Linked DNA regions of Drosophila melanogaster. The protein of the gene in region 2 interacts with the protein of the main gene of each other region in a biochemical or structural test. Each region holds a gene or a part of one and is shown on either strand. Other genes may lie near its edges.

Region 1 (7,567 bases), on a different chromosome or scaffold from region 2:
TTTATCATAATTAATCTAGATCTCGTCTATCTATTATTAAGATTAAACATTTATTTACATTCGTTACGGATTCGATTCGATTCGGATTCGATTGCTCGTTTTTAGTATCTCTAGGTATGCGATCGTGTGTGAACAAAATGTATATGTCCCATTTGCCACATAGCCAAGATTGACTATATATAGCCTAGCCAGCACATATGCTCTCTCCACCTATTTACTTAATTACGTATAAAAATACTTAGAGACTGAGCCACAAAACACAAACACAAACGTAAACAAAAACTCAATTTACATATTTACAAGACAACGCGACATCGACGTCGTTAACCTCCGCATCCAGCAATTTCTACCGGGCTCCTCCAATGTGGGCGGTTACTGTGACGTGGAGGCGTGGCCTGTAACGAGATGATGACTACGACTCCTGAGCTGATGGTGGCATTAAAAATCACCGACTTACCCGGCCACCAGGAATAACGGGGCTCCCATGGCTCCAGACATCGAACATAAGTTGCCGCTCGTCTTTGGCTCGGCTTAGCGGGTTGAGAGCGGGGTGCGAATCTGGAGGCTGGAGGTGGGGCCCAGCAGGACGACCAGCAGGACCGCCAGGAGCAACAGGGGCAGAGGGGGCAGGAGCAGCCTCGAGCCCAGCTCGTGCTGCATGGCCGCGTGCTGCTCACTTTTAATGATATGCACAAAGACGCTGTCAGAATCTGTTGGGAAAAGGTGGCAAAAGGGTGGGTTAGAAAATTGTAAAATAAATATTTTAGGTCGTTACTTATTAAAGGGCTGAATTTAAATATTAAAGCTGGCATACTCTGTACGAAAAGCAGTGAAAACAATTATTTGAATGTATAATGTATGGCTGCTTTAGCAAGAGTATTATTAGCTATTGTAATAACATTAGTTATTTTTTAAAAACTGTATCTCCTTGAATAAATAACAATAATAAATGTGCACTGCTATTTTCGAATAAAATTTCATAATTGAGTTTATATGCATTCAATATGTAAACTCAATTATAGAATATTATTTTATGCAATAAGCCACCATTAACTTAATGCCTTGTAGCTATGGATAAAGTGAAATCTGTATATTTTACATTGTAACTGATCACAATGTATACTACACCCATAAATAAGTAAGCAATTGAATTAATTTGATTTTCAGTATTTGATGGTTAATTTACGATGTTTATATGTGCAACTACTTTTCGATAGTCATGTGCATGTGTAAATATTTTATACGAGTCAGTTGGTGGCGTGTTTCAAATGTAATTAAGTATTTAATGAAATCGAACTTTCGTTGTAAAACTGTCAGTTCCATCTTGGACTAATTGGATTTAAATTAAATTTTCGACACACACACCTTAATCGCATATGTATTCACCTAGTGTCCTTAATCTAACAGTTCATGCATTTCTAAAGGACTCACTCGAGTTGTCCGCGGAGCAGGTGTAGTTGCCCGAGTCCGTGTGCTGGACTCGCGATATCACCAGGTTGCTGGTCTTCATCTGCTGCTCGGACTCTACGCGGATGCCACCCCGCGCCGAGTCGCTTACCAGCTCCGTGTCCTTGTGCCACAGCATGTGCGTGTAGGGTCCTGGAGCCTGGGGTGCGATGCACGTCAGATTGATGTCGCTGCCACTCTGGATGAACAGCTCGCGGTTGGCCAGGATCTGAGCCTTGGAGGCTGTCAAAGAGCGGCGTCGTTTTCGATTAATGGGTATGTCAACAAGTTGCCTATTGGGTGGATCCATAGCCCTCAACCCCTCAACTTCTCAATCCCTATTCCCATGCCCCATCCTAGTTTGTCGTGTGATGTACTGGGGTGTTTGATAAACTAATTTGTCAAAGTAATCCCAGCCCTTCGCGCCCTTGCGCTGCTGTCTAAACGGAGATGTAAGCAACGTCTTACAAGACCGCCAATCGATTGAGATTCAATGGGAGTAATAAAACAGGAACTTGGGGCTGAATTTCGATTGAATAATTATGATGGGTCATGAAAGGGTTCGGAACAAACTTAAGCGGATTCAAATGGATTTGGAATGTTTAGTGGTATGTACATACCAACAGAGAATTATTTGAAGCCCTTCGATTCGTTATGAACACAAGGATATTATCAGTAAATATAGTTTTGGATATATTCATTTGCTCAAAAGTGACAAGTGTCTTGTTCATAGCTCTTCTTAGTGAAAGATACTTACTCACGACGACCAGCTTGTAGGCCAGACTGATCTTGGGCTCCGTGGACACCTGGCACTCGTAGACGCCCGCATCTCTCTGCTGCACCGAAACGATCTTGAGCACCCACTCGTCGGAGTTGTCGATGTGCCGCGCCAGAAAGCGCTGATCGTTCGTGTAGGTCATGATGCCGATGGTCAGGATGTGGAGATCCCGTTGTCGTATCCAGGACACCGCCCTGTCGCCCAGGTGGCGAACGCGGCAGTGGAGACGGGCGGTGGTGCCCAAAGCTGCAATAACCTCCCGATCTGTTGTGTTGTCAAACACGGGATCGATGGCATCGTAATTATCTGGTATCAAGTTGGACAATTCCTCGGCGGCGGCCAGATGGCCTGTAAAACAGTAAACAGATTATAATTATTTAAAAGGTTGAATAAGTTGAATAAGTTTTAAGAACCCAAGGATATGAATAACCCTCTAAACGTCAAATTTATCCCCGCGGAAACAGAATCTATGCCAATATATATTGTTAGTACATAAAGGGCCTAGATATTCAAGCTGCCCATTAAATATTCCCTGGGTAGTTCATTCCACCAGTTGTATCTGAACGTCAATCTAAACGTATTCAAGTGCATTTCAGGACCTGAGCCCAGGAGGCAGGCAGGCAGATGAACACAGGAAGCGTCGGATAGATAGACAGTTAGACTGGCAGATAGATAGATGAATAGATAGATATGCAGACGGACAGACAGACGGACGGACAAACGGACAGATGGATGGTCGATTGGTTGGCTCAATCAGCTGGCGGGGATGCCTCAGCTGGCAATCAGCATTCATTTGATTAACGAGTATTTGTGCTTAATTTATGCCGGAGCTTAAGCCTACACCCCTTTGGAGCCATTCCCGCGTTTATGATCCATCGCTGGGCGGCCAAGTGATTTATGTGGGTGGTGGTGCTATTGGCGCTATTGTTGCTGCAGCTCCACCGCCCAAATGGCGATGTATTAGCCAACTAATGCGCTAATAATCCATGAGTGCCTAAACAAATACAAACACAAATACAGCTGTGCGTGGGATGTGAAGGAGAAGGGACTGGGTACTACTCGATTGGTTATGTGGATATGTGGATGTGGAGTGGATAAACACATATTGATTTATAGGCCAGGATCCATATTGTGTGCGAGTGTGGTTGAGCAAATTTAGCTATCAAATATCAGGCAATAAAATGACGTTTAACACTTAATTGAAACTGTTGATCCGCAGCCGATGACTATGACGATGCTTTAGCTTTCGCTATGGCTGTTGCTTTTGCTTTTGCTTTTGGCCAGGCCAAGGCACTTGAACTGAAATTGCTTTTTATGCTGGCCACAAAATAAAAAAAAAAAACTCCCTCGCACACACGTTCCCGCACAACGGCAGGAAATATGTAACAACATAAAATTTTTTAATAAAAGTTGCGTATTTACATACAAAGTGCGGGGTGGTAAGTTGGAAAATTGCCGGGTCGAACCGCAACCGCAGCTTCAGTGGCCATGGCTAACGCTTCTGCAGGACCTCAACATCCACATCCACAACCTCCGGCTCTTCCTTCATCACCATATCCCCATCATCCCTAGCTGCAGTTCCCCAAGCGGGCCCTAAACTGAGTTCAGGTGCCATAAATTACAAATGAGCAATTGCAGCTGCTCCTGGGTCCCGCATCAAATTCACTCGCAGCAGAGAGATGCGAAATAGATGGGATCATAAACAATTCCTGACAGCTGCGAGTGCAGATTACCTAATTCGGATCCCCTTTTAGAGATCAGTTATCCATTAGGCAGCTTGCTCCCTTCCGTTGCAAAAAGCGAAGCGGAATTTAACTTTGTGTTGAACCACATTAAACCACATTAAAAGTTTGCAGGATTTAAATGAATAAACCATGTATGCAACTTAAAAAAAAAAAAACATCTGTGTGAAAAAATAACTAACCGGAAAAGTTACTTTCCATAAGTGTAATTTAATAGGCAAATATGTGTTGAGGGATTTGAGAAATATGAAAAAATGGAAATACAAATTCACAAAGTACTAATTGTATGAAATTTAATAAAACATGCTTTTTACGTTTAAGCTTATGTTGCACAAAAAATTATAAATCAAATATAAATCAAATATGGCGAAAAAAAGAGTTAATTTCTTTTATTCAAGTCATAATCGTTGTGCTCGTTTAACTCCTTTAATCTGAACTCCTTTAACTTTAACTCCTTTAATCTATCTAAAAGTAATTTTAATTAAGGTATTAGCAATTTAGTTTTTTAATTTCATTAACCGCTTAAGCAGTTGAGTATTTAAAGTGTGTCCTCTGCCCCAACTGCGAGATCAGTGACCCCTTGTAATCCCCGCCATATCCCTCAATCTAATTAGATTGCTTCGCGCTTCCCGATTCCCCACTTCCGATTCCGATTCCCAATACCATTCGCTCTGCGATTCTCATTTATTATGCCATTTCTGATACGACTGCCCAGTCCCCGGTTGGCTTAACCCTTTGAGTGTTGTCTGATTAGATTTAAATCCGTACTCACCGAAGTATTGGCTGCTGCGCCGGCTCTGCTTGTCGACTGGAGCGGTTAATCCCATGATCACGAGCAGCGCCATAAAGTATTCCACCAACATTTCATGCGCAATTTGTGGGGCTCTCGAATTACTTATAACTGCAGCCAGGACGAAGGACCACCAGCGAAGAGCAGGAGCAAAGTGGGTAGGGCGACAACAGAAAAGTAATTAAAATAAATGATGGCAATCGCGGAGAACTCGACTCTACTCAATTCAACTCGAACCGAACCGAAGCGACTCAAATCGACTCGAAAGGCAACACACAAAAGATGAAGCTAAAGATGAAGGATACTCGCCACCAGCCCCGCCCACTTTTTAGCCCACAATTGTGCAGAAACAATAACTGAAAGGGATTAGGCTCTGGGCTCCGTCTTATCGGTGCTCCGGAAACCGCAGCACATTCATTTAAACTGATGACAAGACCGCAGTGCGGTCGAGTTTTCAATCACCATGACGCCCACAGGACAAGAACGAGATGAAGATGTCCTTGCGAGTGTTTGGCAGGGGGATGGGGGGTGCCTTCCGTTGGGTCGTTAGAAGGATCCTGGAAGTGGAGGGGGGCTGGTGGTTGGATTCGAGCTTTTGGTAATTTCTTCATTACACACTAAGCTGTCCATTCAATTGCTTCTGGCCAACGGATGAGGAAAAGCAGGAGCATTTACCTCGCCCGCAGGCAGCAATTTCGCTCTGGTCACGTTCTGATAATACACTTAATTATATTCGACAGGGACGTGGAGCTAAAAAGAAGGAGGAGGAACTGAGGGACTAGCGCAAATGAGGAGCTACCTTTTCCTATGAGCGGACTAGATTCGGTGGCCGTGGTCGAAGTAAATGTAGCGCGAACTGCGTGCCGCCATCTCATGCGCAACGTAACGCATTCGAGCGCGTTGCGTTTGTGTCCTTTTCCGCGGAGCGAGCAGGTCCTTGGCTTACGTAACAGCCCTTACGCTACGTAAGGAGCACTCATCCACACACTCCGACACACTCCAGCACCATCACCAGCACCACCAATTCGCAAAATCAGTCACTCCAATGACGCGATTCCAATTCCAATTCCGATTCCGATTGAGACGCCAGATACGAGATACGAGATACGAAAGCCAGCCGAGCAGGCCGAACACGAGTCACGGCTAGCGATTTCCCAGAGTCACGGGTAGCAGTTCACGGGTCACGGGACACAGTTCCCCGAGTTTCCGGTTTGTCAGCGCTCGTTGCGTGTGTGTGGCTTGAGGCGCGGTAAACAACTGAACGGAGCTGCTCCAGCGAATCCTCCAACAATATGCAAATCTCCAGGAGAAGCAGTGTCCTTGCGCCGGCGCAACAGCAACATGTTGCGGCAACATTTATTGAAGCCAAATTGAATGGTAAGCCATCGTATCATATTAGGAGGCGTGGGTGGGTTGTCGGAGGGTTAAGACCTGCTCCTGCATGTCCTTAAAGTTCATTGGAGGTGCGTGGCTGAATGTGCTTATGAAATATTTAGTAGGGTACGTTTGATTTGTGTCACGCAAACGGCAGACAGCAGCAGATCGGCCGGCGACAAGAAAGGAGCAACAATGGAGCAGCGAGCACCAGCACCAGCAATAATGATACACAAAAACACAAAACAACATCAATAATAGAAGGCGGAAAACTCATGCATGACAAGGCGCCTTTTTAAGCCAGCTTTTTGCAATTGAAAGTGGCAGTGGCAGCAACAGACAACCACACACACACTCGCACAGCACTCGAGTGCCACGCATTGTGCGCCCATTGTGTCAAAGCGGAAACGGATATGAAGCGGCCATGGTGCTGTTGCTGCTGCTACTGCTGCTCCCTACTCATGCCGCGCCCCATGTTGCTCATGTTGCTGTGCTGCCGTTGGGCGACTTATCAAAATCGATGAGGCAACATATGGTCGATTTTAATTTTCTAACATATCTCTCTGCACGCACACAGACAGGCGACACACACGAGCCATTGACACGAGACAAGCCACTGGAATACACACACACACACATGCAGACTGGCATCCTCACCTCGGAAAGTCCTTCTGCCTTTTCCACACCCTCGTCGACTGCAGTACCCCCCTGAAATCCGTTTAGCATATTTTCTTTGGAAATTGAATTTCCAAGTTATTATAAATATTTCTCCAATAAATGCAATTTGAGTGGAATTCTTTCTTCGTCGCGTCGTGTGCTTCGACTTCCTCACCTACTCCTGTTTTAGCATATCCTGGCGAATCAAATAGACAACAGGACGAGCGGGCGCCTCAGTTGGGATAGACCACCCACGTCGCTCATATTATTTTACACTAACAAGCCAAACATTCCTTAAATTTAACAAGCGGCGACATTTTGCCAGCCCCTCATCCATCTCTTTTAGCCCTAAGTGAATTCTGTTTTCATCGCTGGCTGTCGGTGAATAGGGGTGCAGAATTATGAAAAATGTTTACTATATATAGGGGGGAAAGTCACCAGAAATTGTTGCAAGAATGTAAGGCGCTTAAAGTGCGGTTGTGGGCCACGATAACTTTTGATACGCTGCCAGTTGCCCAGAAAAGTATGCTTTAATATGTTAAGTTCAATATTTCAAAGCAGTCCGATGAAAGGATCACTTTCGCTGAAACTTCTCGAGTGGAACGACAAGTGCCATTCCGTGTAGTCTTCTTTTGATAAACAGTGATAACTCAGCTGCTTTGACATTCTCTTTTTTTTTTTTTTTGAGACTATAAAGTTTCGAATGGGTTTTTAAACATTGCTAAAAGAAGTTGGTGTTGAACAAACTTTACAACCAGTTCTAAGAGGACAGGAACTTTA
Region 2 (7,072 bases):
TCAACTGTAAAATATTTAAATAAACCAATAGCCTGTTGTTTCATATTTAAGTGATAAAATACAAAAATGTACTTTTAGCTTCCCTTGAAATTGAGAAAACGTGCAAACATTGTATATAATCCACACCTTTTATATTTCCTTGATCCTTTAAGTAAGCAATCAACTTGGGCCAATCTTGATGAGCCCGCCTTAAAAGTCCAAAGGAATTTAGGGGATTGGACACATATTTATATCGATCCACCTTGTGATCCAAATAATTCGGAGTTAAAGAATTAATAAAACTATGTGAAAGTTAAAGTGTAATTCTAGTTTTAAGAGAGGAATTAAAATATATATCATACATTCTGAGAGTTTTGATTTTTTGTTGCAGAAAGCTAACATAGTTGTTTAAATGCTCCATATAGGAATTCTCAATCTCGCGAAGTTCAGACAGGGCTCGAATGGAATTTGAGTATATTACTTCCTGTACTACATCATTTTCGGCTTTCTTTGCTTTGCAAACTGTGAATAGGAATAATAAAATCCAGTTCAGCAGAATATAATGAAATGATCTTAGCAACATTCTGCTGCGAAAACTATATTTTTTCATTTCCTAACGAAGATACTACATTTTAAATTGATTTATATCGCTTATTCGTCAGGCCTATTTTAAATGCTGCGGTGATTGATACACTTAAGTTACACATATACACTGTTTGTATATTTAGCTTAATATAATTTAGTATTTCCCTAACAAGCCTCATAGAACATATTTCATGAGTGATTCTTGTTTCAAAAAATAGTTGTAAATTCGCTTACTTCTTTTAACAGCGCTACACAACACTATAACTTTTAGCAAAGTTATACACCGCCATAATTTTATTGTTAGGTAACATCGGAGTTGTAAACCATTTCTGTTTGCTTTTTCGAAATTTGATTTCGAGTTTCTACACAGTTAGCCAAGACACATACTTTTCATGTGTAAGTAAAAGTAAGGAAAGTTTATTTGAAAGGCTTTATTATACATCAAGCAGAAACAATTTGAAATTATCGGCAGTTTTTTAAATAAATAATTTTTAAATAATGAAAAAGTATGTTAAATCCACTAAACTAACAATTCTTGAATTTAAGTCTATTTTAAAAATATACATAACTAGTCAAGGCAATCTAATGTACGTATTGCCATTCAGATACTCTAAAACGTAAGTTTATTTTGCTGACTAATCAAATTATGAAACAAAGGTAGGATTTATCAATCACTTAGACTTCAAGATTGCATAAAAACACACTCAAATTTTAGCAAAATATTATTTAATTAAGACAGAGGCTCTGACTCAGAGGCCAGAATGAAGAAACGAAGAGAAACTTGCATGGGCCAGCAAAAGATGTGCCCCTAGGGAAAACAACAATCAAGCAAATTCCACGTGCTTATTATGATTATTGTTATCGCTATTGAAAAGCGCTAATTGTGCGCAAATAGCGGTGCGAACTTAATGCCAACTTACCGAGAAGCTCACACATGCAAACCAAGCCAGTTGGAAGTGCAAGCATCGCAGAAAAGCAGAGGAGCAGCAGCTGGAATCCGGAGGGATATGGGGGATACGGGTGAAAGTTGGGCAGAAGATGCGCGGCATTTCGGGGTTAATTAGAATGGTATTGGAGTTGGCCTTTATTCTCCGCCGCCCACAAAAAAATCACCAATAATGTGTCACTTTCCCCCGGCAACATGTCGTATACTTCATATCGTCACGTGCATATGAAAATATTACGTCGGGCGGTTTATGAATGAAACATTTACTATTGCACAGCACCGTCTTTCGGCTGCCGGGCACCTTGACTACTACTGGGCTACAACCATACCCACTAGACACACTAGAACCACCCAACCACCACCCACTACCTTCGCAAGGCCGCAGGACACATGCGCAACGCCAGTGCCGCATTTGAATTTTGAATATGAGTTTTGACACTTGATTATCAGTTCGCGACCAGTTGTACGGGTGTGCGGACGTTTGGCCACGGCAATCGGCGGAAAAAACTTCATCCGCAGAAGCGGAAAAAATACATTTGCGCTGTTGCGGCGGAAGTTGAACTTCGGCCATTTGGGCAGTGAAAGTGGCAGAGTTAAAAATTAAAGTGGGAAATCAGCAAATATTCAAAAGTTTCGCACCTTGATTGCGGTTGAGTTTTCGGCTATGGGAAGGCGATTGCCCAGCTTTTGGCTGCTGCTCCTGCAGAGCGTGTGTTTCAGCCAGGCCAGCTTTTCGGAGCTAAACAATTGTAAGTGGATCGAGGATGTGATTAACTAAAGGATAAATAAATCTGATTGCTAATAATGAAATTAGTCAGAAATATAAGATTTACTTTGAATGAAATGCATAACCCATTAAATATTAAATTAAACATTTTAAGGATAGTTTTTCTCGATTAATATGACGTTTTTTGAATGTTGTACAATTAAAAAGTATCCTGTTTACAAGCTGAACTTTTGTAACCCGCCAACACGAAATGATGAACCCAAAAGTGTACAGCTAATTGACTGCAAACTATCTAAAGCCGGAGTGGTAGCGTATAAAATGGAAGGTAGCTGGTAATCGGAAGTCCAACGAGTCCATAAGTGAATAAACTGTGGCCAACATATTCCCCAGACGGGACAGACAGGATGGCGGTGATAGGGAAAGGGAGCGGGCAGAGGGGTTTCCGGTGGAGAGCTGCGAAAGAGTAACGAGGGGTAACTTCCGCTGGGGAAAATGTGCGCCGAATAAAAAAAACAAAACAAATTTTCCTTGACTTTGGCGAGCCAAATGCGATAAATATATCAAAATTCGACAAAATTCGCATTTAAATCAATGTGCCAGATGCAAAGTAAACATAAATATTGGCAGGCTAGCCGCAGCGTGCGATAAGAAAGTGAGAAGTGGCTCAAAGGAGTGATGATGCACCGCACCGCACGATGTTCCGTGCCAACCAACCAACTCCCACCACCCACCACCCACCGCACAGCGGGCAGGCAGACAGACAGTCGCGGAAAGGCGACGTTTTCCCACTTCCTATTGCACTCTGCGATATTTTCGTTTCATTTTTTTTTCTATTCCTGGCCGGCGGTTTCTGCCGCTGAAGTGCCGCGTTTTTCGGTTGGCGGTTGCGGGTGTGGAACTGCCACTGCAGTGGGTTATTTCGCAGTTTTTACTTAACTTTTTGGCAGACATTGCGTGCTGATTGTGATTGTGATTCCTTTCGCCGGCAGACAGCTGGAGTGTCTAACAGGAGACAGGACATTCACTTTCCGTTTCAAGTTCAAGTGGCGTGGGGAAAGGACACGGCCGGATTTGCAGCGACTTCGCGGGGAAAATGCGGCTTAAGTCCTGGCCGAGCGATTCAAGCGATTCCAGCGATACAAGTCGTGCAAGAAAACAGGAAAATATATTTAACAACTCATAGTCAATTTCCCCTTATAAAATGTGGCAACAACAAAGGCGGTGCGGTGGCGAAAAAGTTAAATGCTAAATTACGCTACCTTGCAGACATAAATAAAAGAAGAAAAGTTTAACTATATGAACACACATGTATGAGTACACTCAGAATAATTTCAAAAGTAGAAATCAAAAGTAAGATATTATACATAATTACTTACCTTGTAGTTTTGTTAGCGTTTTATGTTCATTGCTCCTTTATGCATAAAAAATCTAATCAAAATCTGTTGATGCAAATATATTATTGAAATTTTTGTTTTTTTTATATTAGTTCTTTAGCTTATTATACTTTTATTTCCAGTGCAAAGTACGTTTGTGTTTTATGGCTTAAAAAGTCTCGCTCGTCCCTTTCTTCGGAATGTTTCAATATGCAAACATGCAATAACCAAATTGCAATACCAACAAAAACAGAAACCATATCAACTGAAGGCAGTCAAACAATGGCGCCTCGTTCCCCACACTCAGAGCAACTGAAGGCGGAGCCTTCGGACTCGGACTCCAAAAAAAAAGCGCCCAACTTGCGGCCAGACCCAAACATAATCGCAAATTATAGGCTCTATGGCATGGCATCCGTAGGCTACCCAATTTGATGCTAGTTTGGTGGATACCCCCCCCACACAACGCAATCAATTCGTGGTGGATGGGGGGGGTATACATAAAGGTGTAGCACAGCTTTTTACAATTTTCCAGGTACCAGCACCTGCTGCCCCCCAACCAACACACACACACATACCGCGCTCTATTAGATTTTTGCATTTTTTCGGGTTATTATTTGGTCATAATTGTAATTTAGGCGTTTGCTGGAACAGGAACAGTAGCTGGAACTGGATTCCTCGTCTCCTGGCCACAGAGTCGTGCTACTTGTTAGGCATGTGATGTGATTTCTTCCATTACTCCTGCCTCCAGCCCATTGTTGTGTTTGCGATGGTGTGGGTGGGTTCGGTTTGCGGTTGGAACTCTGGTGGTTAGATTGGCTGACGGCAACTGTCGAAGTCCTGCGGTCGGGCACCTTGACTCAAAATTATTGCGATGGGACTCGAGTTGGCCGAAGCAACAACACGCCGGAAAGCAGTAGTTTGAGTTCATAGTGTGTGAACCCAACGTGTTTATGCTATTATTTACGATAAAATCAAAACATAACTATCCCGCTGTTCAATATTATGTATGTACAATACATGAGGTACTATTTTTGAGTAAAAGTGCTCAGAAAAGAATCCATAACCAAATCATAGGTTTAAGATGATGTTCAAAACTATTGTTTCTATATATATATAATATAATCAACATATTTTACTGATTCAAAAATAGCTTCGTTTTGCTAGTTTTACAATTTGTTAGTGTTGAAGCTACTCTATTTTGCCAGAATGTAGCTGACATCTATAATTTATCTAATTATTGGATTATCTGCCGCTGTCTCGGCCTAATGTTAACCTCAAGAAATTTATGGCCGTTAAACAATTTTAAATATCGTTGACCATTTCGGCGGGCCATCTGGCAACAAACTTGGCCTAGTCTGCGTTGACATTCTGCAGAGACACGCAAAAATGTGCGAGGATAAGAAATGAAATAATTATCCTGATAATTGTGGATTAGAAAAGCTGCACATAAAAAAAGGTTATTTTTTAATTGAATTAAATGTTTGGCGTCTGAGTTCCATTAAAATACAGCAAATGCCAGTGCCTCACATTTGCAAGCCCCATAAACCACCCCAAAAGCCACCCAGCAGTTGTATATCGTCGCCCCATTTAGCGCCCTAATGATGAAAGCCATAAATGCCAAACCATTGGGCTTGGTGCCACCATCTTCCTTTGCAGCGGATCCCAAGTTCAGCGGTCCAATCAACAACTCAACAGTTCCCGTGGGACGGGATGCCCTACTCACGTGTGTTGTCCACGACCTGGTTAGCTTCAAGGTGGCCTGGCTGCGAGTGGACACGCAGACGATACTGAGCATCCAGAACCACGTCATCACCAAGAACCATCGCATCTCCATCTCCCACACGGAGCATCGGATCTGGCAGCTAAAAATACGCGATGTTCAGGAATCGGATCGCGGATGGTGAGTGAAAGTATCTATCAGATAGATGGACCATATTCTTCTACTAGCGTTTACCGTAGGTACATGTGCCAAATCAACACGGATCCCATGAAGAGCCAAATGGGCTACCTGGATGTGGTGGTGCCGCCAGACATTGTAGACTATCAAACCAGTCAGGATGTGGTTCGTTCCACGGGACAGAACGTAACACTCACTTGCAGTGCAACGGGAGTGCCCATGCCCACCATCACCTGGCGTCGCGAGGAAGCGACTCCGATACTGATTTCAGACGACGGCGATCGGGAAGTGTTCAGCGTGGAGGGTCAGAATCTCACCCTGTGGCAGGTGCAGCGCTCCCACATGGGCGCCTATCTCTGCATCGCCTCCAACGGAGTGCCACCCACAGTGAGCAAACGCGTCATGCTGGTGGTGAATTGTATGTGTGAACAAAGAGTTGGATTCAATATATAATACTGAGTTATCTTTCAGTTGCGCCCACGATCTGGACACGCTACGATACCATCTACGTGGGCCTGGGCCAGAAGCTGACGCTGGAGTGCATCACAGAATCGCAGCCGGCATCGGTGAACTTCTGGCTGAGGGATTCGCAATTGCTGCAAGGAGGTTCCTACGAGTCGGTCTCAGTGGACCACGTCTTCCGGATCGTGATGCGGATCACCCTGCGTCCAATAACGAAAAGAGATTTCGGAGAGTACATATGCAGGGCAAAGAATGCGATGGGTCAGACAGATCGGATTATAACCGTGCACCGTAAGTGAGATTATATTTCGGTTACTTAATCCCTTAGATGTAACAAATGTTGACCACCAGATAAGGCCAAGAAGCATGGACAGCACTCGCATCAAACTTCCTCCCGCGAAAGTCAGTTCATTGTCATCGAAGGTTTGTTTGTTCTACAATAAATAGAGTCGCGATAAAGATAACTAGCTAAATCTTATTGCAGAATACATCGCAAATATGTCTGATAAGAGCTGCAGTTTCCAACCGCTTTGGATAATGTTTCTATGTTTCGTCAATAAAGTGTCACTTTTGTGAGCAATCAAACAATGTGTGCTTTGTCTTTTGGCCACGTCTAATGAGTGACTTCATCTTTATATTGCCTAATTCACAATGTTATATTAATAATAATTTTGGTGACAATTGTTCGATTCAAGGGTAAAAGTAACGCACGTGTGAGCAAACTATTAAAAAAAAATCAATTAATTTGATTTTGATTCTGATCTTTTGTTTTGATTTTTACGTTCGGTTGACTGAATAAAATTGCTTTAGGACAACATTTACAATAATTTTTTTCTAAATAGTCTACAATTCGTTTAAGTTATTTACAATTGGATTCCTTAGTCAGATCAATTGAATATATCGATAGAATTCGATCCGCAACTTTACGCTTAACTTAGAGGAAATCGAACTAAGGAGACGTGTTCAACAGGTGTGTTAATATTTAAACATTAATATTTAGCTACTTCCCATCGGTTGCATCTGTTCCGTTTCTTTCGCAATAAATTAGTGAGTTAAGAATTAGATCTAGCTATGAGCGTGTCGAGGTAGGCTTAACAGTTTGT
Region 3 (4,734 bases), on a different chromosome or scaffold from region 2:
AATGTGCCGCATCGCACGTCTTAATAGATTTTTGATTTGTTTGCCCACCCTTCTTAGCTGGTAACTCAGACTTCCCCATTCCGAACCCGGATCCATATCCGAATTCGAATCCAAATCCAATTGTGAGGCGGGCGTGCGTCTCTGATTGGAATAATGATTTCGCTGAAGCAAAGATAGAACATAAACCGAGCCAGATTTGTTGTTTTTTTTTTTTTTGTGGGGAGTAACTTGTTTTTGTCAATATAGAAAATCAATAACTGTTTTCGCCGCTACCGTTCGGTTAAATCAGACGAGGGTAATTCAATTAAGAAATCACACAGGAGGCCAGGAATTAGTAAAAATGGAACGCTCAAGGCTCCGCGAAATGGAGGATTAAAAGCGAGTCCTGAAAGTTGGCCATTTCTTTATTTCTGTCTATGATGAACAATGGGATGGTATTTGGGCAACATTTTACAAATTGTTTCAATTAAAAAGTTTACTGACTTTGCTTTTTCGCCTTTTACTTTATCTATAAGCGGCTTGCGATTGACACGTGCCTCCATCGCCACGCCCCCCCGACTGAACGCCTCCTTCGGTTATCGAATGGTAGTAATCGCTTTTTGGGGCCGCTAATTGCGGCGACCTTGATTGGTTGGGTGGTATTTATAAGTCCGCAAGTTGATTGCATAATACTGGCAATGTTTGGGCAGTGGGCCATAAGTCGTAAGCTGGGAAAGCCAAAAGCTGGGCCAATCAATTAAAAATAATCAGGCGGAAAAAGTTCTGGCCAATCTGCACAAATATATGTATATATTTCACAGTCGCTAATTAATTTAATTGATTTAAACGCTTCGGCTTGACCAATAGCAAGGCGAGGGGTTTGGGGGGTGTTATCGAGTGCATTTGATCTGTTTGTTTGCACAAAATTAAATTGACTTGTAATTAAAAGTTTCGCAATTGATTGAAATTCTCGTGTGTGCTTTTCCTTTGTGCTTTTGGGTGGCTGCGATGAGTCCCAGTACTAAGAACGCTTCAGGGAAATTCGCAGCAAATAAACAAAAAATAAGAAAAAGAAAAAAAAAAAAACACTAAAAAGTGCTAATTAGGAGCATTAATTAAAAATGCATTTTTTGTTTGCCGCTCAATTGAACTGCAGAGAACGTGGAACTGTAACAGTTTTCATACACTGGACATTTTCTCTTTAGGCCTGCGGAGTATAAGAGCGGCAGTATAAGAGTATCCCTAACTGACCTATGGCAGGATATTTTTGCGCGGTTTTCTTATTGTTTAGCAGCTTAAATGGTAGTGGGCATAATTAAATATTATATTAAAAACAAGAAGCAAGTTTCATTTATTAAGAAGTAGAACAATTTATTTCCTTTTATGATTTCCCTACATTTTAAAAGCAGAATGGTAAAACTAAGTCCCTAGAAAGTGGAATACAATACTAATATGTTAAAAAAAAGGTTTTATGAGTCTTAATAATAATTAAATAATTAGTAAAGGCTGTAATATAATTATTCATAAGCATTTTATTACAGTTGCAATAGTGCTTTATTACCTGAGACATTATATTCGATATAAACAAAGTTGCTTGGTAATTTCGTGCTCCAATAAGCCGACTGAAGAGAGCGGCTCTGCAGTTTTAGTTCTCTTTGCTCTTACATGTGAACAATATATATGCGAACTTGCCCGAGTGCCGAAGTTAGCCGAAGTCGAGGCGTTCGCCATGTGCCCGAGCGCCGATTACCAGTCAGTTCCATCCTGTGACTCGAAGGCGAAGCACGCGTTTCTTGATTTATGTGCGCGGGTTGTAGTCCCAGTTAAATCCTGTTCAGATATATTCCTCAGTGTTGAGGGTTTCGAAAAAGTGGGCCTAATGAGTGCCCGGGCCTTCGTGTTAATGGCGAATTAATGACGGGGCGATTAAAATGCAATAGCCACATGCATGGGGCGCCGTAATGAGCTGAACCGAGCGACTGAGTACAGTGAAACACAGTGCCATAAATTAGAGGCGCCCACAAAGTGTAGCCTACTGCTTAGCGGCTTTTGGGCTTACGATCTGTTTGAAGTGTTCGTAGACCGTTAAAACCTTTCGCACGCCCACAAAAAAAAAAGTTCTTGTGTAAAGCTCATTTCGCAGCAGATTAACAAAAAAGAAAAAAAAAACAAAACCAGAAAAAAAGGTCAACTCTCAGTGAAAACGAACCAAAAACAGGGCCAAGCGGAGAAAGTACTTTCATTGCTCCCCAGGCAGAGCTTAACCGAGAGTTTTGCCGGGCTCTAATTTGACGGAATCGTTAGTTGACCAGTGACGTTCCACCACCCGGGTGCACCCCCACCACACCGGAATCCGTTTCGCCGGATCCGGATCGCGTGCCAACTACAAGCGTAATAACAATAAACTTGCGGATAACAACCGCAGATACACAGATACAGATACAGATACAGCAGCACAATGTCCCTGCCATCCAGAGCCAATATCGGATTACTCAACTGGCTCATCGGCTGGCTGCTGCTGCTGTCGATGGTTTTGCTCAGAGGTGAGTTGTGCGTCGGGCTTTTTAATTAAATAATCCAATTTATTTTCATTTAATTTCTAATTAAATTTAATTTGTTTGCGCCGCGCTTTGGCCCACCTAATTGCCCCCATGCTCACCATGCCCACCACGCCCATCACGCCCACCATGCCCGTTGTAACCCAAAGACTTTCCTTTGTCGCCTAGGATTTCCCGTCTAATTTCCGGAAAACGAGCGATTTTCGCTGGCCTGGAAAGCGGGCGAATGCGAATTGAAAATTCTTTAATTTTTGTGCTAAGAATTTTAATTCCGCTACAGAGTCGGCAAAAGTTTTCCCTTTTGTCCCTGGCGCAAGTCAAAAGGTGAAGCATTTAATGCCCATCTGTGTGTGACTCCCAAAAAGTGGAGAACCAACAAAATGAAACATTATACAGAGGGAAAAACGAGTGCTCCCCCCGCATCTTGGTTTTAGAATATTTTTGTTTTTAATGCATATATTATATATGTATTTATACGAACTCTTCATGTTTTTTTTTGGGTTAAGATGAGTTAACAAAGTCAGCTAAAGTATATTTCTGTTAAATTATATAATATTACAAAATGTTTTAATATTGGATTTTGGATTGAATTTAACAACACTTTTAGAATATTCTACTTAAACTTTGTTTGAAGTAAGAACTTGAAATACTCACATTGTTATTGTACAATATTTAGTTTTATAGATACAATCACATACAAAAGTAGTTAGAAAATGTTTTAAAGGCTAGTCTACTATCATCTGCATTTAAAACTATTATTTACAGAAAAGCATATATGCAACTAAGTACTCCGGCTATTTGATTTTCCGTGCATTCGTGACCCACTCCTGTCCAGAGTTTTGCAGTCCTAGTTTCGCAGCCCACAAGGTTGGTCCAGTGACCAACTGAAGGGCAGGAGGATGAATGGCGAATGGCCGCATAGTGCGAGTGCGAATGCCACATGCAACGTGTGGGCTGGGCAAACGGTTTTATATAATAGTTTGCAACAGTGGGGCACAAGTCTCACTTTCAATGCATCAAATGAGAAGCACGCGCTTGTGATGCGCCGCGCCACAGAGATAGAAATGTGGGAAAATAAAAAGTAAATATGAAAAATAACACATACTAACGAGCGGCAGACACTTGGAAAATGCTGTTGAAGCTTGGTCATGGCCAAAATGCTTCTGGCTGCAGTTGCACTTGATGTTGTTGCCGCTTGCGCAGCAGCAGCAGCAGCTGCGTTGCATGTGGCACGTTGCAGTTGACACACGAAACTATTGCCATTGGGCTTGGCTTGGCTTTTTGGTTTTTCAGTTTTGGGGTTTAGCCGCCTGTTTGCTGCTTTTAAGTTTGCACTTTTTAGCTTTCAGCGGCTAGCAATTTTCTACTTTCCGTTTTCAGCTCGTCGTTTGTCATCTCTGAAAACAGTAAATTGCATTTTTATACAATTTTCCATCATTTGACTTGGCAGTTGTTCGTCTGGGCTTTGTAATTTTCAAATGAAATACTTTCCGAATGCAATTCGCTTTTGCGCAAATTGTTTCCTTCGTCCTGCTTTCCTTTGACTTGGCTGCTTCTTTGCCTTCTACCCGCCTATCTTGTTAGCCCATTGGCATCTGTCTGGCCATTTCATTTGGCTAAAAGCTACTTGAAGTTGGTTAAGCGCAGACAAACAGACGAAATAACTCATCTTGGCAATTGCAGAACCTGCAAAAAGGCAAGCAATCAAAAAAGATTCCTATCGAATTACTGGGCAACCGATTTTCCAAGGATTTTCTTTGGTCTGGGTTTTATTTGTTCTCTCACAAAGGTGATGATTATTACTTGTAATGATATATTGGAATTAAAATTATTTAATACAAAGTTTTTGGGCATAAAGATGGTTTAAGTTGATTGCAAAAGGCTAACAAGTCAAAATCTAAAATGTAATTTTTCACTACTTTAGCATGGACAACTTTGACAATTAGCCATATTCACTTTTTAAGTACCAATATTTTATAGTTAAATTTGCATATTATTATGCAGATTATTTTTATTTTTATTATATATATATGCATATTGGAATTTTTTGAGGCAAATTTTCGGCCGGCTGTTTGATTCTTTTTCTCAAATTAATTGACAGGGAAAAACTCGACAAATGCATGCGCATATTTCCATAATGAATTCATAAAACTTTCGATCGTGTCCTTTCGCGAGCTCGTGTTATTTGGTTTGTTGG

Evidence for each region.
Region 1: the proteins of DIP-iota (region 2) and dpr5 form a complex in vitro, tested with the Drosophila melanogaster proteins (one study listed by BioGRID).
Region 3: the proteins of DIP-iota (region 2) and dpr1 form a complex in vitro, tested with the Drosophila melanogaster proteins (one study listed by BioGRID).

The regions. Positions count from the first base shown.
Region 1 is NT_033777.3:11,498,417-11,505,983, reverse strand, and holds dpr5 (defective proboscis extension response 5), read right to left. Parts: upstream 6,001-7,567; 5' UTR 5,632-6,000; coding exon 5,556-5,631; intron 4,915-5,555; exon of another isoform or gene 4,868-4,914; coding exon 4,739-4,867; intron 2,573-4,738; coding exon 2,204-2,572; intron 1,690-2,203; coding exon 1,432-1,689; intron 711-1,431; coding exon 532-710; 3' UTR 458-531; intron 396-457; 3' UTR 33-395; downstream 1-32.
Region 2 is NT_033779.5:6,616,613-6,623,684, reverse strand, and holds DIP-iota (Dpr-interacting protein iota), read left to right. Parts: upstream 1-1,984; 5' UTR 1,985-2,174; coding exon 2,175-2,259; intron 2,260-4,238; exon of another isoform or gene 4,239-4,605; intron 4,606-5,266; coding exon 5,267-5,510; intron 5,511-5,569; coding exon 5,570-5,925; intron 5,926-5,978; coding exon 5,979-6,260; intron 6,261-6,320; coding exon 6,321-6,392; intron 6,393-6,453; coding exon 6,454-6,545; 3' UTR 6,546-6,551; downstream 6,552-7,072. Other genes in the region: CG34345 (uncharacterized protein), read right to left, coding at 1-4, 127-281, 342-562.
Region 3 is NT_033778.4:20,696,749-20,701,482, forward strand, and holds the start of dpr1 (defective proboscis extension response 1), read left to right. Parts: upstream 1-1,734; 5' UTR 1,735-2,437; coding exon 2,438-2,522; intron 2,523-4,734.